Linked DNA regions of Macaca mulatta. The protein of the gene in region 2 interacts with the protein of the main gene of each other region in a pairwise test. Links are inferred from orthologs where the notes say so. Each region holds a gene or a part of one and is shown on either strand. Other genes may lie near its edges.

What was found.
Region 1: the proteins of FAM118A (region 2) and WDR4 interact in binary tests that used the Homo sapiens proteins (3 or more experiments, as listed by UniProt). The two-hybrid records come from large-scale screens. The link is inferred for Macaca mulatta from reciprocal best matches to the Homo sapiens genes FAM118A and WDR4.
Region 3: the proteins of FAM118A (region 2) and ATOX1 interact in binary tests that used the Homo sapiens proteins (3 or more experiments, as listed by UniProt). The two-hybrid records come from large-scale screens. The link is inferred for Macaca mulatta from reciprocal best matches to the Homo sapiens genes FAM118A and ATOX1.
Region 4: the proteins of FAM118A (region 2) and MOB3C interact in binary tests that used the Homo sapiens proteins (3 or more experiments, as listed by UniProt). The link is inferred for Macaca mulatta from reciprocal best matches to the Homo sapiens genes FAM118A and MOB3C.

The regions. Positions count from the first base shown.
Region 1 is NC_133408.1:4,614,650-4,620,706, reverse strand, and holds the start of WDR4 (tRNA (guanine-N(7)-)-methyltransferase non-catalytic subunit WDR4), read right to left. Parts: upstream 3,669-6,057; 5' UTR 3,611-3,668; coding exon 3,522-3,610; exon of another isoform or gene 3,122-3,521; intron 876-3,121; coding exon 810-875; exon of another isoform or gene 803-809; intron 1-802. UniProt on the Homo sapiens protein: Non-catalytic component of the METTL1-WDR4 methyltransferase complex required for the formation of N(7)-methylguanine in a subset of RNA species, such as tRNAs, mRNAs and microRNAs (miRNAs).
Region 2 is NC_133415.1:6,139,019-6,144,311, reverse strand, and holds part of FAM118A (protein FAM118A), read left to right. Parts: coding exon 1-202; intron 203-2,817; coding exon 2,818-2,850; intron 2,851-3,791; coding exon 3,792-3,875; intron 3,876-5,293.
Region 3 is NC_133411.1:160,688,537-160,694,374, forward strand, and holds the start of ATOX1 (copper transport protein ATOX1), read right to left. Parts: upstream 3,553-5,838; 5' UTR 3,472-3,552; coding exon 3,466-3,471; intron 1-3,465. UniProt on the Homo sapiens protein: Binds and deliver cytosolic copper to the copper ATPase proteins. May be important in cellular antioxidant defense.
Region 4 is NC_133406.1:193,971,838-193,977,766, forward strand, and holds the start of MOB3C (MOB kinase activator 3C), read left to right. Parts: upstream 1-2,577; 5' UTR 2,578-2,731; intron 2,732-4,286; exon of another isoform or gene 4,287-4,452; intron 4,453-5,929. UniProt on the Homo sapiens protein: May regulate the activity of kinases.

The DNA.
Region 1 (6,057 bases), on a different chromosome or scaffold from region 2:
AACACTGTGTTTTTGTTTTTGTTTTTTTGAGACGGAGTCTCGCTGTGTCACCCAGGTTGGAGTGCAGTGGCGTGATCTCGGCTGACTGCAACCTGTCTCCCAGGTTCAAGTGATTCTCCTGTCTCAGTCTCCTCCTCAGTAGCTGGAACTACAGGTGCCTGCCACCATGCCTGGCTAATCTTTTTATTTTTAGTTGAGATGGAGTTTCACCACATTGGCCAGGCTGGCTTCGAACTTCTGAACTCAGTGATCCTCCCACCTTGGCCTCCCACAGTGCTGAGGTTATAGGCATGAGTCACCGCACCTGGCACTAACACTGTACTCTTTTTTGTTGTTGTTGTTGTTGTTGGAGACGGAGTCTTGCTCTATTCCCCAAGCTGGAATGCAATGGCGCAATCTTGGCTCACTGCAACCTCCACCTTCCAGGTTCAAGAGATTCTCGTGCCTCAGCCTCCCAAGTAGATGGGATTACAGGTGCCTGCCACCACGTCCAGCTAACTTATTTTTAGTAGAGACAGGGTTTCGCCATGTTGGCCAGGATGGTCTGGAACTTCTGACCTCAGGTGATTCATCCTCCTTGGCCTCCCAAAGTGCTGGGATTACAGGCATAAACCACCACGCCTGGCCAACAATGTACTCTTAATGCCTAACTTGAAAGTTACTTTTACATGTCTCTGCTGAGGTGGTACTTACCCGCACCACTGTGGGACAGAAGCTAAGAATTCAGCAAGACAATAATCGCTTCTTAGACCCTCTGGTCCCATTATCGAACATTAAATCAGGCCCTGAAAAGCTTCCCCACATCTCACCCTTTATTTTCTTGTGACTTCTTTTCCGCAGCACTGCAGTCATAGATGAAGAGGCTGTCATCGTCACTAAAGAGAAATAACAGAATGATTTTAAAAGGAGTTACCATTAGACAGAAATAGCAACTTTTTAAATATTTTTTTTCTTTTTTTTTTTTTTGAGACGGAGTTTCACTCCCATTGCCTAGGCTGGCGTGCAATGGCACGATCTCGGCTCACCACAACTTCTGCCTCCTGGGTTCAAGTGATTCTCCTGTCTCAGCTTCCCGAGTAGCTGGGATTACAGGCATATGCCACCATGCCCGGCTAATTTCGCATTTTTAGTAGAGACGGGGTTTCGCCATGTTAGCCAGGCTGGTCTCAAACTCCTGACCTCAGGTGATCCGCCCACCTCAGCCTCCCAAAGTGCTGGGATTATAGGTAGAACCACTGCACCCAGCCTAACAATGATTTTTATTTTTATTTTTTGAGACGGAGTTTCACTCTTGTCCAGGCTAGAGTGCAATGGTGCAATCCTGGCTCACTGCAACCTTGGCCTCCCAGGTTCAAGCCATCCTCCTGTCTCAGCCTACCAAGTAGCTGGGATTACAGGCATGCACCACCACACCCGGCTAATTTTGTATTTTTAGTAGAGATGGGTTTCTCCATGTTGGTCAGGCTGGTCTCGAACTCCTGACCTCAGGTGATCCGCCTGCCTCGGCCTCCGAAAGTGCTGGGATTACAGGCGTGAGCCACCATGCTCCGCCTGCCTAACAATGATTTGTAAAGGAGCACTTTATTAAAATAAAACAAAACAAAAAAATGTTGATTTTTTTTTCTCTGTGGAACAAAAAATATTTGCATACTCATTAAAAGTCTTTCCTTGACAAGAAAACTGTCTAGATACAATATTTCAGAGAACAGTTAACAAACTTTATTTGCTTAATCTCTTATTGGAATATGTCATACACTACCTGCACAGTTCTGTGGGAAAAAAAAAAGTTCAGTAAAACAAATGAGGGATAAATACTCAACAGGAATTACTATGCTATTCTCTCAGGCACCAGAAAATCTATGCGGCATGGTTATAAGAAATCATGTTCTGGCCGGGCGTGGTGGCTCAAGCCTGTAATCCTAGCACTTTGGGAGGCCGAGACGGGCGGATCACGAGGTCAGGAGATCGAGACCATCCTGGCTAACATGGTGAAACCCCGTCTCTACTAAAAAATACAAAAAACTAGCCGGGCGAGGTGGCGGGCGCTTGTAGTCCCAGCTACTCGGGAGGCTGAGACAGGAGAATGGCGTGAACCCGGGAGGCGGAGCTTGCAGTGAGCTGAGATCTGGCCACTGCACTCCAGCCTGGGCTACAGAGTGAGACTCCGTTTCAAAAAAAAAAAAAAAAACAGAAATCATGTTCTGATACTGTTGAGTTTTCAGTGGGATTCTGTATACAAATTTCAAAGAGCCATTACCTATTTAGAAACATATCTCACCTACCTGAAAATGTTCCCATGACCCCAAGCACGTACCAACGTAAGAATTACCCATCTTCCACACCGAACCTAAACGCTAAACTCTCTTCAGTTTATCCCATCCCATCCCTCAGCACGTATCCTGTACATATTTATAGCCTTTAAAGTGAGTGCACCAAAAAACTTTCCATATGGAACCGTAGACTTGTCTTCCAAGTCAGAAACTCCACCAACCACTAGAATTTCCTCAAAATGCATAGACTGAAGGTAAGCAGATCATGTCTAATACATCCACAGCTCACTCTGGCAGGTATTAGACCGGGAGTATAAAACAAAATCATCTGGGATACGTGACAAGTTTCCGAGTACAATTTTTGTGAGACCTAATTTAACATCGAATTGGCTTTCTGAAACCAAACGAAGAATATACAGTGCATGTGACAGACGCGTCGTCCGTTTCAAGTATGAAATCACAAATAACCTGGGAAAGAAAACGAGGGGCTGAAACTGACAGCACTACTAATTGCTCCCAGAGTCCTGAGTTAAGACTATTCCATCAACAAACATTAACTAATTTAAAAATCCCCGGCGTCGTCCTAGCACTGGCGATACACTAACGAAGGAGAATAAAATTACGGAAAGCAAAACCCGAGCCGTGTGAAGGGCCACTAGGAGGTGCGCGCTGCGAGCTCTGCGTGCACCCTTGGGTCGAGTAAGTAAGTGTCGGAGATGACCTGGAGCGTTAAGGAGCAATTAAGGCCGGGTGAGTGGATGCAGACCGGGAAGAGGGAACGGGCAACCCCTGCAAGGAGAGGGAGCGCGCTCGGAGGTCAGTGAGCTCGCCATTAGCCCCTCCCTTCTCACCAGGGAGACCCGAGACCCACTTCTTCCCAGTTCTCCAGAGCGTGTTCGGCCGGGCCTTGCTGACTGGTCAGCAACGTCCCACGTGCTCTGCCCACCCGGTCCCCGCCGGCGCCGCGGAGACCGGAAGTGACCCAGCGCTAACCGGGCAAGAACACCGCAGACCAGCCATCTACGGCAAGGAGCGCGCCAGCGGCCGGGGAGGGAGCGCCGAAAACGCACCCTCCAGGCGCAGACACGCGGCCAGGCGGAGACTGCGGCGGAGGGCTCGCAGGATGGAGCGGGGTTCCCCGAGGTCACTCCAGAGCAGGTGCGACCAAGCGGTGCCGGAGAAGCGGGGCCGCCAGGACCCGACGCGCGCCCGCAGCCTGGGCACCCTGTTCCAAGACCAAGGCCCCCTCACCTGCTTGCTGTGGAGGTGGCCAGGAATCGGCTGCCGCCCCGCACCACCAGCGTCTGCCCGCACAACGCCAGTCCCACAGAGCCCGCCATGTACCCGCCCGCCTCGCCGCCATACACATGTGCCCGCCTAGAGCCTCTTCCTGTCTGCACCGGTCGCTGACGCCAGGCGCGGACGCCGACAGATGACGTAGCCCTCACCTACTGCGCATGCTCCAGGCGAGCCTGCCTTGAGCATGCGCGGCAGGCGCTGTGACCGTCCTCCCGGTTGGGATTCGTGGCCTTCGGTGTTTCGGGCTTGGCGGTTCACTCACCAAGGTGATCTGATGGCGTGCACTTCGCACGATTCCAAGTGCTTGCCTAATGTTCGTCCTTTCCTCTAGACGGGGTAGGGCTGGTTCTGGATCTTTTTCCGCTGTAACTGGAGAGACCTGATAGCTACTTGATGCGTGCCTCACATGAAGTCAGCAGTTCGAAACTAGCCTGACCAATATGGTGAAACCCCGTTTCTACTAAAAATATAAAAATTTGCTGGGCGTGGTGGCGTGCGACTGTAGCCCCAGCTACTTGGGAGGCTGAGACAGAAGAATTGCCTGAACCCGGGAGGTGGAGGTTGCAGTGAATCAAGATTGCCCCACTGCACTCCAGCCGGGGCGACAGAGCGAGACCCTCTCTCTCAAAAAAAAAGAAAGTCCAAAATGTGGTCATGGGTGTGGGTGTCTCGGGTGGCGTTAAGTCTGAGGTCGCTAAAGGTAAGCCTACTTAATCTTTGCACTTAGAAAAGCCAAAGATGCCTTAAAATCTCCAAACTAGAGTGATATTTCCAACCCAAACTATGGTTAGTTTCCAGTGTTCATCCCAAGATCCCCCAAAGCCTCTTACAATCCCAGCATCAGGCACAAAATCTAGGATCTCATGGTCTGTCTTAGATTGGCTTGTCCAGTGCAGCTTCTCTTGATTCAGAGACTTACAAACTAAGAAGATGAATTTTCTCTCCCATGCACCCAACATATGATGGTGAACCAGGACCAGATAACCACAATAAATACTTGCATGTGAAAATGAGAAGAGGAGGAGACAGAGCAATCACGGGGCCAGAGCAATTCTCAAATCCTATTGGAAGCTGTTTTCAGGCCCTACAAGAATAAGAAGTTCTCCTTAACCAGGCCCGAGTTCTGCTTCCTGGGAGTGCCTCCCCAGGCTGTATCTCCGCACAACTCTTGCCTCTGCCCTCTTGGGTGTCCCTCCTTTTCCAGCACCTTCTTGGCCATTTTGAAGAAAAAGGCTTTTGAGACACTTTCTCAACCTACTTCCTGTCATTAGCAAATTGTGGACCCACAGATCTTTTTTCACTCTAAACTGTTCTCTCCACATTTTTGCAGCTGGTGGTGCTTTGTTCACTACAAGTCCCTTAAAAACTTTGTGGGCTTCTCAAGCATCCGATTCAGGTGCTCTCCATGCCCCAGAAGCCACTCTCACTAGTCTTTTTTTTTTTTTTTTTTTTTTTTTTGAGACAGAGTCTCACTTTCTCTCCCAGGCTGGAGTGCAGTGGTGCGATCTCGGCTCACTGCAAGCTCCGCCTCCCGGGTTCATGCCATGCTCCTGCCTCAGCCTCCCTAGTAGTTGGGACTACAGGCACCTGCCACCACTCCTGGCTAACTTTTTGTATTTTTTAGTAGAGACGGGGTTTCACGGTGTTAGCCAGGATGGTCTGGGTCTCTTGACCTTGTGATCCGCCTGCCTCGGCCTCCCAAAGTGCTGGGATTACAGGTGTGAGCCACCACGCCTGGCCAACACTACCACTAATCTTGTTGAAACAAGCCTCGCTCTAAGATTTTTAATAAATATTTGTATATTGCTGAAAGGGTATACTAGTTAACATTTAAATCATTGAGATCACCTTGACTTCAGCATTATTCTTAAGGCCATATTTTACTAGCACCACTCTGAATTTGATCTTTGGCCCAGGTTATGACTTACTTTGAGACCTTGTTACCAACTATAGAGTCTAATAATACTTTCCCCAGCTCCAACCCAATGTATGTTCTAAATTCTGCTAGCGAATTTGTTTGTTTTTAACCACACTCTTTTCTATAAGTGTCTCAACATATTCAAGCAAAAGAAAAACAGGTTAATCTCAACATTATACTGAGATGATTTTTTTCAAGTCCCAGAATTCAGTAGTTGCCTTTTTCTCTGCCCATCTTACTGAAGGGAAACAATTTTACAAATCCTTCACCATGACACAGAGTCGTTCACCATTTGTCCACCTCCAGTAGTTTTTCTCACCATTGTTCCAGTGTTCACTACCAATTTCCCCACTGCTTTTCCAGGCATCTAGTCCAAAGCTAATGCCACATGTTACAGTAGCACCCACTGCTAGATACAAATGTCTGTAGCATGCCTATCTTCCTTGTAGTCCTAGATACAGATCAACAAGCTCATGAAAACTATCACTTTTTTTTTTTTTGAGATGGAGTTTCGCTCTTGTTGCCCAGGCTGGAGTGCAATGGCATGATCTCCGCTCACCAAAACCTCCA
Region 2 (5,293 bases):
CTCTTTCTTTACTCCGTGCCGAATAAGGTGGATTTGGAGCACTACATGCTGGTGCTGAAGGAGAATGAAGACCATTTCTTTAAGCATCAGGCAGATATGCTTCTGCACGGAATCAAAGTTGTATCCTACGGGGACTGTTTTGACCATTTTCCAGGATATGTGCAAGACCTTGCCACTCACATCTGCAAACAGCAAAGCCCAGGTATGGGATCTGGCTTCACTTTCCTTTTTCTTTTTGTTTTTTTTTTTTTTGAGATGGAGTCTCGCTCTTGTTGCCCAGGCTGGAGTGCAGTGGCGCCATCTTGGCTCACCACAACCTCCACCTCCCGGGTTCAAGGGATTCTCCTGCCTCAGCCCCCCGAGTAGCTGGGATTACAGGCATGTGCCACCACGCCCGGCTAGTTTTGTATTTTTAGTAGAGACGGGGTTTCACCATGCTGGTCAGGCTGGTCTCGCCCTCCTGAAGTGCTGGGATTCCAGGCATGAGCCGCCGCACCTGGCTGCCTTCGCTTTTCAAGTACGAAACTCACAGGGCTCTTCCAGTTGTTGCTCTCTCTCTCTTTTTGATGTAATTCACGTATCCAGAAAATTCACCAATCTTCCAGTTATTTTTAAAAACTGCATCTGTAATTTAAAATGAGAAGATTGGAGTAATTGGTGTCCTAGTGACAGTCTGTAACTAGAACTTTAACTTCAGGCTGGATGCGGTGGCTCATGCCTGTCATCCCAGTTTTTTGGGAGGCCAAGGCAGGAGGATTGCTTGAGCCCAGGAGTTTAAGACCAGCCTGGGCAACATAGGGAGACCTGGTCTCTACAAAAATGTTTTAAAAAATTAGCTGGGTTTGGGCTGGGCACGGTGGCTCACGCCTGTAATCTCAGCTCTTTGGGAGGCTGAGGCGGGTGGATCACGAGGCCAGGAGATTGAGACCATCCTGGCTTACTCGGTGAAACTCCGTATCTACTAAAAATACAAAAAACTAGTCGGGCGTGGTGGCGGGCGCCTGTAGTCCCAGCTACTCGGGTGGCTGAGGCAGGAGAATGGTGTGAACCCAGGAGGCGGAGCTTGCAGTGAGCCGAGATCGTGCCACTGCACTCCAGCCTGGGCCACAGAGCGAGACTCCGTCTCAAAAAAAAAAAAAAAAAGAAAGCTGGGTTTGGTGGTGGACATCTGTGATCCCAGCTACTCTGGGGGCTCAGGTGGGGGGATCTCTTGAGCCTGGGAGTTAGAGACTGCAGTGAGCTGTGGTCAGGCCACTGCATTCCAGCCTGGATGTCAGAGCAAGCCCTGTCTCCAAACACAAAACATAAAGTAACTTTGAAGTTTACAACTGTACCCATATGTATAGCTGGACACATTTATTCCTGTTTCAGGTTTCCTTAACCAAGAAAGAAAACTACCAGGCTAGCTTTATCAGTTGTGATACTTAACACTTGAAAGATGCAGATACCTCATATTTGTGTCCTGTCACTGCAGTTGAAAAGTTACAACTTCACAAGCACAACCTGATTTCATGATGAACACTTGACTTCTTTTTTCAAATGATGTATTTTCCCTGTTCTGAATGTCCCTGTTCTGAATGCAGCACCTCTTTTAAGTAGTGCTCCTTGGCCCTTTTCAGAAATTGCTCATCTATCAGGAATGACCAGGATAATTGAGAAATTTTAAAACTTGGTCATCTTGACATAAGGGAATTAATAGCTGCGAGTTTGGCATCATAAAACATTGATGATGGCAAGCTTGGAAAGGCCTGTGCTGGCTCATTTAATTGTAACAGGAAACCCAGGCACACTCACCATACACTGGAACCAGGTTAGCCACAGAGGCAGGTGTATGTATCCAGCTGTGAACTTGGAGACTAGAGAATGCACAGATAATCCAACAGCTCAGGTTTTTCTTGTTTTTTTAACCACTATCATTTCTTTTCAAAATTGCTAATAATTAGCAAAATGGACCAATGTAAGTTCCATTTCCATAAATAAAAGTATAATTCTTATTAAGGGCAGAAGAAAGGAGCTCCTGCTTGCCGTGTGTCACCCCCTACTAGGAGTTCCATATTCTTACCTTAGTTGGGTTTTCAGTGGCAGCACGCAGCGCCAGTAAGCAGATGATTTCGTAGACGAGACGAGTGGAGCTGGCACAGGCACACAACGTGCCCAGTTAGCGCCCAGACATTTTGAAGCTGGGATTGGGATCCTGGCCTGACTGCAGAGCAAAATACACCATTTGGTGCGTCCTGGCACCAGCCCAGTGCGTGGCTCTGCAGAGAGGCAGCGGGCTTTCCTCATGTCTGCCCCCGTCCGCCGCTTCTCATTCCACCCCCACACTCCCCGAAGAACAGGGCCCAGAGCAACCCTGCATGTGCTCGGGCTCCTGGAGTGGGGCTGAGCAGCTTTCTGTCCCGCTGAGGCTCCCTTTCCAGGTTGGGGCAGGCAAGTGGATTCGACAGGCTGCCGGAAGACTGCAAGGTCACTGGGAGTTTTAATCTGTGACTGTCATGAAGGACATTTGTACTCGAATTCATGGAGTGCCACTCCTGATGGGAGAGGAGGCCCATGCCAGTGACAGTCATGTTAGCGACCACGGACACCACGCCACGCTCCCTGTGCCAGCTGGCGCCTTCAGCGAGTCCTCGCACCAAGCCTGGAAGGTGCAGAAGAGAGGGCAGCGGGCGGCCCAGGAGCCCACCGTCCGTGTGGGCCGAGCTGCCCAGAAGCCTGTTGCCAGTCACTGCCGTTCCTAGTCACTGCCTGCCAGTGGCTGAGGAGGACGAGCTCTGGGTGTCTCGGCTCCACTGACTGCTTTTCTTTCTCCTTCAGATGCTGACCGAGTGGACAGCACCACATTATTGGGTAAAGCAGATCTTTCTTCTCGCCAGCCTGTTTTTTGCCTACACATTCCATTGTCTTCTGTCATTCACTGTAAAATCATAAACGTTTGTTTTTCACCTTAAATAATTAGCTTGTATTAAGACAGCCCCACTGAAGATGATAAATAGCCATGCATTAGCATGGTGCCTGCCACACCGAGACACTAAAAGCCATCCCTTTGACGAGGAAGCACAGCCGGATCACACGTGGGCCAGCTGGCACCTGAGAATAATTTCTTGCCCTAGAACCAAGAGTGACAGGGGACTTGGAACAGGTTCTATTTGTGGGATACCTTGTGGGGCAAGATGCAGTGCCTTAGAATGACCCAGCTCTTCCGCAGCGTTCATTGCACGGGTCTGAGCTTTCACACAGAAGCTTCTATTTAATCCTTGTTTGAAATGTGAACGCTCTTATTGCTGGGCTCAGTTCTGCCTGGTTATACATTTAACAAGACTTGGTGGCTACAAGCGTCCTCCTGTGTGTGAACTGGGCACCAGGTGCCTCCCCTTGCTGAGCCATTTGGGTAAAAGGGACTCTGGTGAGTGGCGCGGAGGCCTCTGTGCGCAGCCCCGTTTTCCCTGCCTGTTTGGCCCAGTGCGTTCACAGATGAGAAAACGCGCATCGATGTGGGAGCTGCTCGCATCACATCCATGTTAGTGGTGCGGGAAGTATAAAACCGCCGCAGTCAGCTTCCCATCCACCTATTCCCGTGCGAAAGGACGTCTTTATTACAGTCGCTTTCTTACTGAAATGCGACTCCCGGAAGCATGGCTTTCTTTGGAGAGAAGCCGTAGTGCGGTCAGTGTCATCTGCAGGGGATGGCAGGGTCTGTTTGGCCTATGCTTCAGTAAGGTCACATTTATAAACTGTGCCTCGGCGGGTGGATTCTAAATAAACAAGCTTAATACATTTTCCTCTTTCAGGTAATGCATGCCAGGACTGTGCAAAGAGGAAGTTAGAAGAGAATGGAATTGAAGTTTCAAAAAAACTCAGACAATCAGATACTGGTATTGTGTCCGTTCTTTTTGTGGGGAGCTGCCTCAGGTCTGTCTGGTTGGCAGGCATCTTCAGGGACCATGCCGCGCTTTAATGCTCCGGGCCCTGTGGTGGGAGGATGGTGCATACATTCTGTCAGGGCCAGAGAGCACAGGAGGCTTAGCAGAGACCCTGACCTCTCACCCCAACCCAATTCCAACTGCCCAGAGGTGCTGGTGCCTCTTTAGAAAACTGTTATGGAGAAAACATACACTAGGAAGGTGCAGCGGGCAGAAGGGTGCTGTCTACAAAAAGAAAAGTTAAAAACATGAATAAAAAGTGCACAAGTTATGTAAGGTCAGCTCAGTGCATTTTTGCAAAGTGCACGCTCCCATCTAATCACACCCAGTTGAGGTAGCAGCATTGCCAGGACCCCCCTTGTCACTCTCCAGCCTTCTCCAGCCCCTAAGGGTGACCACTAGCCTGATGCATGTCACCCGAGTCTCTGTAGAAAAGCACTTTAAATCATTTGAGCTGTGCTGCCTGTTACAGACTGAGATGTAAGTGACTGAACTATCTAAACAGTGTATTTGAATAGGCCTCTCTGTTGACACTACGAAGGGCGATCTCGCTCGTTCGTGCCGGTCCCTCCCTCTCCCCTTCTCCTCCTCCTCCCAGGTTTGCGTAGTGCTGTGTGTTATTTCTCATTCTTTAAATAACAGACTTAAGCCAGACTTCCCAACACGAAGCCTGGGCTGGATGGCCACCCGCTTGCGTATCCCACCCCCTGGCCCGCCGGCTTCCCCGTTTTGTTGCTCTCCGTGGTGACAGGACAGAAGGGAAATGAGACCCCCAGTCTGTCTGTAGGTTGACTATAAAAGTCGGCAAACAAAAGCATTTCCTTGATGAAAACAGCGTCAGTGTTCTTTCCTGCTTAGCCAGCTTGTGGCGGTGGCCGTGGGCCCAGTGCCACGGCACCTGTGCCAGCTGCAGATGTGTTCTCAATGTCAGGGTCAAATGTGGCTTGTTCTTACATTCCATTCTCCCATGTTTTATTGTTTAATATTGGGGCTTTGAGACATTTGTGTTACTTCTTATTTTTTGAGGAGTTTTTAGGTTCTTCTTTCCCCTTTGTTTTCCAAAAAATAACATTTCCCAATATTCTTAAATGTATGCATTCCCTCAGCTTTCAGAACTAAGAATTTTTTTTTAAAAAAAGTATGCATTCTCTTCATCCTGCCACCCCACGTCTCCCAGGACACCTTCTCCTGGTCAGCTCCGTGGGGGACTGCTGTGTGCCTGCCTCCCGAGCTTCCCTCCTCCTCTCTGAGATGGAGGCCCAGGTCTCCCTTGTTCTGGCCCCCCGTCCATCCTGCTAGTAGCTCCTGAGGCTGCTTCTGCAGAGCCCTGTGCGGGGTCGCCTCCCGAGGGCGATGTGTCTGCAGGTGTC
Region 3 (5,838 bases), on a different chromosome or scaffold from region 2:
TGAGGCAGGCAGATCACCTGAGGTCAGGAGTTCGAGACCAGTCAGGCCAACATGGTAAAACCTGTCTCTCTACTAAAAATAGAAAAAAATTAGCCAGGCATAATGGCAGGTGCCTGTAATCCCAGCTACTTGGGAGGCTGAGGCAGGAGAATAGCTGGAACCCAGAAGGCGGAGGCTGCAGTGAGCCAAGATCATGCCACTGCACTCCAGCCTGGGCAACAGAGCAGGACTCTGTCTCAAAATAAATAAATAAATAAAAATCTAAAGGCTGGGTGCAGTGGCTTACACCTGTAATCCCAACACTTTGGGAGGCTGAAATGGGAGGATCACTTGAACCCAGGATTTTGAGACTAGCCTGGGCAATACAGTGAGATCATGGCTCCATTTAATTTAAAACAAAAAAAAAATGTTTTGCAAAAAAAAAAAAAAAATGATGATGCTCTAGAACATGGATTGGCACAATACAAGCTACCTGTTTTACAAGGTAAAAGGTTTTGTTAAAACATAGCCAAACTGAGGCCAGGTGTGGTGGCTCATGCCTGTAATCCCAGCACTTTGGGAGGCAGAGGCAGGAGGATCATGAGGTCAAGAGATCGAGACCATTCTGGCCAACATGGTGAAACCCCGTCTCTACTAAAAATACAAAAATTAGCTGGTAGCGGTGGCGTGCGCCTGTAATCTCAGCTACTCAGGAGGCTGAGGCAGGAGAATCACTTGACCTGGGAGGCGGAGGTTACAGTGAGCCGAGATCATGCCACTGCACTCCAGCCTGGCGAGAGAGCAACACTCTGTCTCAAAAAAAAAAAAAAAAAAAGAATCAAAAACAAAAAACCATAGCCAAACTCACTTGTTTACTTTTGCACTAGAATGGCAGGGTTGAGTAGTTGTACCAGAGATCCTGTGGTTTGTGAAGACTAAAATGTTTACTATCTGGGCCTTGTAAAAAAAAATTTGCTGAGTCTTGCTCTAGGATAACCAGCAGAAAATTGATTAATCAATGGTTTGCACTTATATACTGAGCCAAAGTTTGGAAGGGTTTGCAAGATCAACCTAAGAGCTAAATCTACTGATTGTCTATTATATGTCAAATTGTCTTTATACAGTATCTAAGCTAGTCCTCACTGAGCCTGGAAAGAAAGCTATTTATCTTATTTCACTCAGGAGGAAAGTGAAGTTCCCAAGAGTTCACTAAGTGGCCTGCAGTCATGTGGCAAATACCTACTGAGTATGGAATATGAACCTAGGCTTTCTTCGCTCCAGGGAAATCCTGCTCGTTCTGGAATAGCAAAGTACACCACCAGCTCTCATAACCGTGACTCTCAGCAGAAGCTCCGAAACTAGAAATACATTTTTAGGGAGCACAGTTTTTTGCTGCCCAAGGACCTGAAGTCAACAAATACCTGAAACTTTCAGTTGCTGATTATAGGGAGTAGGTCCCATCCCCTACAGTATAAAGGTCAGAAGTCAGAAATCAGCTGCTGGGTATAAACATTACAGTTCAGTGCTCTCCTCCTCCACCTCTGAGGGGCAAAAATAAATTTGAGGGTGATGGAAAAACTATTTCATGGACAGAGTAATCACTTCTTTATAGGAGAAGCTCAAGATTGGCTCTACCACCGGATGCATAACTGGGTAGTTCTGGTTCCTCAAGGCCTCTGGGGTCTTTCATAAAGACTTATAAAATGGGTAGATTTTAAAGTAGGTTTTAAAAGTCAGTAAGTGGGGGCCGGGCACAGTGGCTCATGCCTGTAATCCCAGCACCTTGGGAGGCCGAGGCAGGCAGATCACAAGGTCAGGAGATCAAGACCATCCTGGCTAACATGGTGAAACCCGTCAGTACCAAAAATACAAAAAAAAATTAGCTGGGCGTGGTGGCTGGTGCCTGTAGTCCCAGCTACTCAGGAGGCTGAGGCAGCATGACGTGAACCCGGGAGGCGGAGCTTGCAGTGAGCCAAGATCAGCCTGGGCGAAGTAAGTGGGACGATTTTTTTTTCTTTTTTTGAGACGGAGTCTCGCATTGTCTCCCAGTATATATACATATTAACATATATATATGTTTTTTTCTTCCCTTTCCAGTTTTAAGGCAGTCCCTTGACTAACACCCTCCTTCCTTCAGCTGCTCATCTTGTGGTACATGGTGCCAAGCGCCCTCCTCATTCCCATCATTTGCTCCAGAGGGTCTTTTGTCAAAATCCCCAGAAGATACAGAATACACTGATGATCAAGCTGGACTTTTCCTCACTGCCACCCCCCACAAAAAATCCTGGTGACCTTCACTCTCTAAGTCCCAGGGAGATTAATACTGTCTTCTACCATTGCCACAGGCTGACTTGCTCAACTGGTAGGGCTGATTCTGTCAGATTCCTTATCCATACTTTGTTGTTGGAGGATTTGTCTCAAGGCACCTGGCAAGGTCCAAGGGAAATGACACCTGAGATGTTAGTGGCTCTGCCCAGGGGGCGTCAGGCTCACCTGTCAGCTCCCAAAGGACAGGCTGCTAAGACACATGGCATCTGTGGGATACCTCTTGATATCCACCTGGCCCAGAGCCATGAATTACGCACCTCGAAGAAAATGCTAAACACCACATGACCCTAACCAAGATGCAACTGAGATCAGAGCATCTTCCCAAGCCGGTATGACTGCTTTTGCCAGGCACCTCCGATGTGGTCAGGCCTGGAGAGATGGGGAGCCTAAGGATAAGGAGCTGAATCCTGGCTCTGCCAACTTCAACACGACCTGGAATAAGTTACTGGGTTTTTTATATTTTTATCTGTCAAAGCCCTCAATTCTTTTTTATATAAAAAACGAGACCACGAGCAACAATATACTGAGTGATCTGCAAAGGCAGGCTCAGACTGACTTCCCAGACTCTTGCCACTGAGCAACTGGTGACTTTGAGGGGGGTTCCTGAACCTCTCTGGGGCTTATGGGTTCAGGCTGACAAAGTGTCTCCATTCAGAGTCGCCCAGAGCTGATTTGAAAAGTAAGCCATAGTGGCAGGAAAATTTAGAAAAAATCATGAACCTCTGAAAACCTGCCCGGTCCGTGAGGGAATAACCGGGTCCATCCCCATGCCCAGAGCCTCCCGCCCTCCTTCAGGCCAGCTAAGCGGGCGGGGCAGCCAAGAGGAAGGCTCAGGGAGTAGGCGTCTCAGTTCCCGCTGGCCACCAACTCCCCGCGTCCTGCTGAGCGACCCCCTGCCCCCTCTCTGGGTCTGTTTCTCCGTGTACGCAGGAAAGGTGTGGGCTTGTCGCCCCTGGAGGCCTTCCAGCTCCGACGTTTTGAAGCCTGGCTCCTAGATTAAACTCCCTTCGGATCCCATTTTCTGAAGGGTCGCAAAAGCTGGGGGCTGGGTGGGGTAAGCTGAGCCCTTCAAGAGAAGCATCCGGTCAAGCTGTTGTGCAGCCAAGGAGGAACCCGGGGACTGCAAGTGTGCGTGGCGGGCACGGCGCAACCACTCACCGGCATAACTAAGGCAGCGGCAGCGGGGCGGCGGTGGCAGCAGCGCCTCTGGGCTCGGAGGGCGGGTTCGGCTGCGCTTCCGAGAGTGCGTGCTAGAGGCACCTTCCCGGAAGCCCCACCCTCTCCGGGCCAGGTCGCGAGGGAGGCCCCGCCCCCTCCGGGCCTCAACCCTGCCGGCCGCACCGCCTCCTTTCCGCTGGCCGCGCTTATGGTCACCCGGCCTGGACGGAGAGAGGAGGTGAGAGGAGCGCTGCGTTGGCCTCCATCGACTGTCGGCCTTTTTCAGAACGCCTACTTCGGGTCAAGCTTGTGTTAGGGAATACCAGAAAAGGGCACCGCCTTGAATAGGACAGATTCATCCATCCCTAAAAGGACAGTTTCACTCATTTATTCACCGAGTCAATGTCTATTGAGCGCCAGCCAACGAGGACGCAGCGGTGTAAAAGATGTAGCAGGAGGCTGCGAAGGACGCAAGCAGTGATAGTGCCGGGTTAGCAGAGCTGTCGTGGCAGAGGAGGAAGGGCCCTGACTGCAGTGGGGTGGGGGTGGTTGTGGAAGAGAGGCGGCCTGGGGAGGAGGCAATAATCTGGACCTCAGTTAGCCTTTATCGCCCTATTACAGGCTCTGTCTCTAAATGCAGTCGCATTGGGGGTTAGGGTATCAACATAGGAATTTTGGGGAACACCATTCATGTCCATGTCAGAGTTCAGTCCCTAACAGAGCCATACTGACTAGAGTTTTAATCTCAGCTCTATCATTTACCAGCCGTGTGACCCTGGGCAGATGAACTTACCTCTCTAAGCCTCAATATCCTCACGTATAAGATGGGGACAGTTAAGGTGACTATACAATTTTTTTTATCTAAACCTTTTGCTAGAGAAAGGAGATGCTATTAATAATTTTGCCAGGACAACAGGCAAACACCATGACTGTTTCAGGCAAACAAGGACACATGGTTCCCTCCAGGAAACCTACTTTGTGGTATTGTTGGAATACGTGTAATGTATGCAGACTTCTAAGCACATTGCTTGGCACATGGTAGGCACCAAAATATATAAGTATTCTCTAATTGCTAGGCCCTCGGTTGGCCTCCCTGGCACTGGGTTTTCCCCTGCTCACAAAATACCCCTTAACCATTCATCCCCTACCCAACCTGCCAGGAATTCCCTAAAGATGGAAGGGATGGGGGCGAGGAGGAGAGGGAAGGAGGGTGCTGGCACATTAGGTCCTGTAGAGGCAAGGCTTAGCATCTTGGTAGTCCTGGGTGCAACTTTACACTGGGGCTAGGGATAGCCAGATTGCCATGAGGGAAGGTGGAGGGTGGCCATGAGGGAACGAAATCCTTCCCAAAGGCAACAGTGCACAGGGCGAGCCACCCACGGCATGTTTTAGAGAATTAGGGGTAGGAGTTGGGGGTATGGCTAAGCCTAGAGACAGCAATTTAAAGAGAAGACAGCTTTATGAAGATCTGTTAAAGATCGCAAATAAAGGCCTATTAAAGAGAAGAAAATATGCCAGACTGTAGTTCCTGCATAAAGATATACATACATTCCGTGTATTTACATAAAAATAAGCCTGAAATCAACTACAGCCAATGTTACTAGAAGTTACCTTGGATAAGTGTAGGATTTGCAGGTGGAATCCCAATGTGCCTACTGTTTAATTTTCAAATAACACAAAGTAGCATACAGTGAAAAGTAGGTCTCCCTCCTACCCTGACCTCTCCTTCTTAAACAAAAGGCATACTATATGCAGTTTTGCACCCTGCTTTTCTCACTTTATAAAATATCTTAGAGGTTATTCCTGGGCCAGGTGCAGTGGCTCATACTTCTAATCCCATTGCTTTAAGAGGCCCAGGTGGGAGGATCACTTAACCCCAGGAGTTTAAGACCAGACTAGCAACATGGTGAAACCCCAGCTCTACAAAAAACACAAAAATTAGCCAGGTGTGGTGGCATATGCCTGTGGTCCCAGCTACTCAGGAGACTGAGGTGGGAGCATCACTTGAGCTTAGGAGGTCAAGGCTGCACTGAGCTATAATTACACCACTGCACTCCAGCCTGGGTGACAGAATGTGACCCTGTATTTTAAAAAAAGAAAAGAAAAGAAAAAGAAAAAAAAGATTATTCCTTAACAGTACATATCAATCCTTTTCTTTCTTGCCTTTTTTTTTTTTTTTCCTCTTCGAGATGGAGTCTTGCTCTGTCGCCCAGGCTGGAGTGCAGTGACGCAATCTTTGCTCACTGAAACGTCTGCCTCCTGGGTTCAAGCAATTCTCCTGCTTCAGCCTCCCAAGTAGCTGGGATGATAGGCGTGCACCACCCTGCCCGGCTAATTTTTGTATTTTTAGTAGAGACAAGGTTTCACCATGTT
Region 4 (5,929 bases), on a different chromosome or scaffold from region 2:
CTGGCTTCCCCCAAACCTTCCACCTGCCTCCCATCCCACAGACACCCAGGGACTCTGAGGATAAGCTGGGAACTTCTGATATTCCTTCAAAATGGATCATTTCTATTTCCCACAGTGTAAGGTTCTGTGCTGTTCACTCTTCACCAGAAAAACTCCTCCCTATCCTATAAAACCCAGCTCAGAAGTCCAGAAAATGACCCTGCACAAAGCCACAGAGGAAGTCACATCAAATTCCGAAGAATCTTCCAGACCATGATCTCTGACCACAACGCAATATAATTAGAACTCAACAAGAAAAACATAAACCTCCCATAGGCTAAGAAACTGAAAAACACACTTCGAAATCATTCAAGAGTTAAAGAGGAAATTACATTGAAATTTATGAACTATTTAGAACTGAATGATAAGGAAAACACAAGCAGTTTCCAAATCATTTCCCCTGTGAAGTCGGCCCTGACCCCACATGGTTCCTCAGATGGCTCTCCACCCTCCACCCATTTCTACACCCTAGGAGGCTGACATCTACAGGCTGCAGCGACAGGTTCCCTTGTTCTTAGCTTCTGGGAGGATTCAGCTAGTGGGGGAAACCTGGCCAGAGATCAGAGGGAGGGAGAGAGGGAGGAGAGTGAGGTCTCTTACTTGCCCCCCGTCCTTCCCTATATGATTGCTGTGGGCTGGGTATACCCCTCCACCTTAGGCCACAGCTGCCCCCTCCTCAGAGCTCCCACTTTCACCACTCCTTTCCTACACTCCTGCAGCCTAGGGTTGACAGCCTCTGCTCTTGTGAGTCCTTTGGTGATACACTGTCTGTGTGGTTTCCCTACACCTTGACCCTACCTGTAAATAATGTCTTTGTTAAACATACCCGTTCTGGGTGTTCTATGTACTTCCTGCAAATACCCCTACTCTTACAAAGTCCATTAGTCCACAACCACATTCTCACCTCTGGGTGACTGAGCTCTGACCTTGTGTATCTCTCTGTGTTGTTCCCTCTACTGACCTGTCAGCACCTGAGGTCAGCAACCAGGTCAGCTTCATCACCCAATCCCCTGATCTGATATGAGTGGAGAGTTATACTTAATAAAAGATATTGATTAGGATATCAAATAAAGAAGCATATTTTAATTTGCTCCATAAGCAAGTGTTTGTTTATAGGGGATTCAGGGCAGAGAGTTAAGAGTCAGACATAAAAATACAGAGAACTTTAGACTGGGGCAAAAATTGGTGCTCAACAAAAGAACATATCCACAGTTCTATGAGCTGGGATTCATTTTTTATTTTTATTTTAGGTTCAAGGGTACATGTGTAGGTTTGTTATATAAGTAAACTCTGTGTCATGGGGATTTGGTGTACAGATAATTTCATCACCCAGGTAAGCAGCATAGTACCTGATGGGTATTTTTGTCTCATCCTCCCTCCTCCCGCCCTCCCCCCAAGCAGGCCCCAGTGTCTGCGGTTCCCCTCCTAGTATCCACGTAGTCTCATTGTTTAGCTCCTACTTATAAGTGAGAATATGCAGTATTTGGTTTTCTATTCCTGTGTTAGTCTGCTTAGGATAATGGCCTCCAGCTCCAGCCCATGTTGCTGCAAAGGATATGATCTGGGTTAAGGATCTAGCGTGTTCTCATGTCATCCAGCAAACAGAAGGTCCAGACACAAGGAGTGTCCAGTGTGCCATAGTAAATGCCCACCTCTGGCCTCTAGCTCTCCCCTACCCCTCCAGAGTGGCTTTTACAGCTAAGCTCTCTGCTTTGGTCTTCCTACCTAGAAGGCCTCCAATCTTCCCTCCCATCCCAGACAGAGCAGCCAACTGGTCCCTGGGCCTGGGGGCCACAGTGTGCACTGAATGCTGGTGAGATATCTCTCTGTCTTCGAAGGAACCCAGGTGATAGGGAGAGCAGATCGGATCTTGAGTGGTTTGGATTTGGTCGGAAGGAAGGAGGGAGAGAAGGTATTCTAAAATGGAACAGCTGGGATACAGGTCTGGAGGTAAGAAATGGGGTGACTCTGGGTGAGGAGCAAGGAGAATCAGCCCAGCCTGAGCCAGGCCCCCTCCCTGGTGAGGAGATGAAGTTTGTGATTTGAGGCTCTTCTGGGCCTGTCCCTCAGGGGTGAAGGACTCAGCTCATGATTCCCAAGGCGTTCATTCATTCCTTCACTCAATCATTCATTCATTCATCCATCAAGTGGGTTTTGAGTTCCTGCTATGTGCCAGGAGCTGAGGATATGGGAGTGGATAGGCCAGTCCTGATCCCTTATCGGGTCCCGGGACAAGTGTGACGCAGACGATTCTAGGAGGGCAAAGAAACCACCCTTATCTAGCAGCTCTTGTTTCTGCTCCAGAAGAAGCCGAGTTTTTCCCCATTTTACCGTCTGGGAACCTGAGGCTGCCTCCTTGGTGGAGGTCCAAGGAAGCACTGAGGGGGCGGGCAGCTCAGTCCTTTGTCCAGGGGGAAGCTGGGAGCCCGATATGGACTTTCCGGGAGGGTGGGGGCGAGTGCGTCTGTGTACTGGGGTGGAGGGGAGTCCCCTTTCTCCGCCCCTCCCCGCCCCGTGGCCGCGGCGTGGCGGGCCCGGGGCGGAGCTGGCGTCACCCGGGCAGGAGGGCGGCCGCAGCCGGCAGGACAGGCAGACGGACAGGCTGACAGGCGAGAGAACAGGCACTGCGGGACCGGCAAGGGAAGGGCGACCCTGTGGCTGGGAATGTGACCCCGCGGCCAGAGGAGGACCCGTGAGTGTGCGCCGTGCCCCTGCGGCCTCGCCGCGCACCCCGCCCGCCTGGCTTCCACTTTCATTTCTTCGGCTGTCTCGGCGTGGCACGGTCTGGAGGAGAGTCCCGCCCGAAGGCAGACTGGCCGCTGTCTTGGGGCTGGGGTCCAAGGCTCAGAGCTTCGAAAGTTGGGGTGGGGTTGGAGGGGGCGGTACGGGGCAGAGGGGAGGGGTTGGGGGGCGTGTTTTCGGGGAGCGGAAATGTCAGGCGGGCTCCTCTGGGTCCTACGACCTGCCTGGCCCTGGGAGCTGGTTGGGGGGGCAGGGAAGCCGGGGGTGGGCGTGGGTGGCTGCGCGCCTCAAGGAGAGCGTGGAGTCTTCGCCTCTACTTTTTCTCTTCGACTTCTGTCCTGAAGAGCGTCCCAGGCTGGATTCTGGGTTCAAACTGGGGCCATCCTCTGGCCCAGGCCCAAGGAGTGGTAGATGTAGCCTAGCAGGGAGCTAAATATCAGAAACAGGGAGGGTCACCCTGCTGTCTTCATCTGAGAAGCCCACATCCCCACCCAGGGAATGAGCAAGCCACTGCCACTCCAGGAGTGAAAGGATAGCCAGCACTGGGAAATGGGGGCTAGGAGGGGGAACAGCAATGGTTCAGGGAGGGACAGAGGTTTTGTGACAGAAACTCAGTGAGGGCATGGGGGTGGAGAGTGAAGGGAGTTAACCCTGTGGCTAGAAGAGTACCTGCCTTGCACCCACCCCCTGAGCTTACGTTTTCCTGGAAAGAGACCCAGGCCTTGAAGTTCCACAGGAGTAAGGTGGAACTCTAGCTCACTGGTCAGGACATCCCAGTTGCTGTGCGGAGTCAGTGTGTTGGGGACAGGAAGCAGGTTGGGCTGTTTGGTGGAGAAGATGCTTCCACTGTCCCTCCACTCCCCTCCTCTTCTCTGTCTGCACCAGACCATTGATAAGCCAGTGTAGGAAAATGGTGTTTTACCCTTGGTCATGAGCTGAGCCCCACCTCCTCTCAGTTCCCAATTCTGCTTGTAACTTGCTGTGTGAACACAGGCTCCTCAAGTCCTATTTTTAGGCCTCAGTTTCCTCATCTTGGCCTCAGTTTTCCCATGTGTACAAGTGAGCTGGGCCAGTTGATCTATCAGGGCTATTTTAACTCTAAGATTCTAGTCTAAGCTTTCCTTCAAGTCTGAACACTGACTTTGTGCCAGGCCTTTTCCTAAGCTGGGGCTGGGTTGGGGATGGAATGGAGACTGCGATGACCAAAAGCAGCCTCTACCCAAGGAGAAGGAGATCTGAGTTCAGGAGAGGAGGCTGTGGGAGGAGGTAGCAGCCAATCTGAGGATGTATGGTCAGGCAGGTGGAGGTATAAGAAAACATGCAGAGGCAAGAGAGTGGGGGCGTGTTCAGGAATCAGGAAGAAGCCCAGGGTGGTTGGTGTGGGGAGGTGGGAAGTGGGGCAGGAAAGGTAGGACAAGGTGCTGAATGCCAAGGTGGGGGCCTATTTCTAACTGTCATAAAGGGGGTCATGCAATGTGGGGAGCCCAGGAGCCCCGCCTAATTGCAGTGTGAGGGATTTGGGAAGCACTTGCCCCAAGCAGAGTTTAAAATGGAGATGGCAAGTGAAGCGCAGAAATCTCCTCTTTGCTCAGGAAACTGGGGTCCCACCCTGGGGACTTCTTTGGGTGAGAAGTTGAAGAGTCAGGATGGATGAGATGACCTTTCACATCTGTGAGTTTTTTTCAAGAGAACAAGTTCCTGCTGAATGGCCTGTTTCTACCCTCCAAGCTGCTCTCATTTTACCAGACTGCCCCCATCCTGGCCTGCCTTTGTGGGTTCAAGGAAGGACCTTTGTCTCAAACATCTCCCCTGCTAGTTTGACTTCTTGCCAGAATACCCCTCCCGCAATATGTGCCTTCCCTTTGCTTTTACCCAATTGTCACCTGGTTCCCACCCTCCCTTCCCCAATCCTGTCCCAGGGTTACCAGAGATGTGAGAAAGGACAGTGCTCTAGCATCAGTCAGAGGTCAAGCCCAGGCTTTGGCCATAAGCAAGCCTCAGAGTAGGGCTAAAGGCTAGAGTCAGGGCTCACACTTGCCAGAGCCTAGGTCAGAGGTCAGCCTGGAAAAAGAAGGCAATTCTTAGCTTATACTCAGCCTTAGTGCTCAGTCTAGGGGCAGGGTCAGTGCTTAGTTTGTGGCTAAATTCTAGTTTTGGTAGGTACATGGGTCTGCATTTCCCAGTAGCTCACACACTCACAGGTGAGATGAGATGACTCAGGTCTTAGAAACCTAGCTATAGCAGAGTGACCCAGGACCTGGATGGGCCAAATCCATGGTGATACAGGGGTCACCCAGTAAGCCAATGGTAGAGCTGCGACTAGAACCCAGGAATCCTGCCTCTGAGCCTAGGGCCCTGATCACTGTCTCCCGAAGTCTGCTCTGAATCTGGGATCCTTAAATTCTAGGAGGCAAAGCAAATTTGCCTGAGGTCTACATGGGCCCTCCTGGATAAATCTGATTATACTCTTCTACCTCCCAGTGCCAGGCACATAGTAGTTGCTCTAGGAATGTCTACTGAGTGTCAGGTGCAAGGGGAGGGGCCAGTGGCTTGTTCAGAATTGGGGCCGGAGGAGGCTGGCTTCGGGGGAAGGATCTCCAGCTGTTGTCAGAGGAAGCGATGCCCTCATTGATCTGCCGCCCTCCCCCTCCTCCAGTGCTTGCAGCCACACTCAGAAGCCGCCCCGCTGGCAGCCGGAGGGCCCTTTCCTCTTTCAGGGTGAAAAAAAAGGAAAGGACATTTTTGGTAGAAAAGTTCCCTGCTGCTCCCTGGGAATCCCCGGTGGCCGGATAGACTACGGGATATCCCAGAGGAAGCCGAAAGCCATCCCCCACCCCCTCCACCCTGCCCCCAGCACAATGCTGTGAGGCTTTCCCACGCTGCACCAGCTGGCCAAGGGGGCTCCTAGAGGTCATCTCGTCCAAGCCCCTGTCTGCTGGTGGGCCTGCAGGGAGCCTCTGCTACCTCTGTCATGACTAACAGCAAGTCCGAGGGGCACCTGTTTAGAGCCCAGGCCCAGCTCTGCAATGAAAGCAGAAAAGAGACAAACAAGATGTGGGGCTTAGCAAGGGGGACTAATGTAGCCTGGAAAGAGGGTGGGGCACTGGACCTAGGGGTTGAGGATTTAGATTCCCAGGCAGGGGATGCA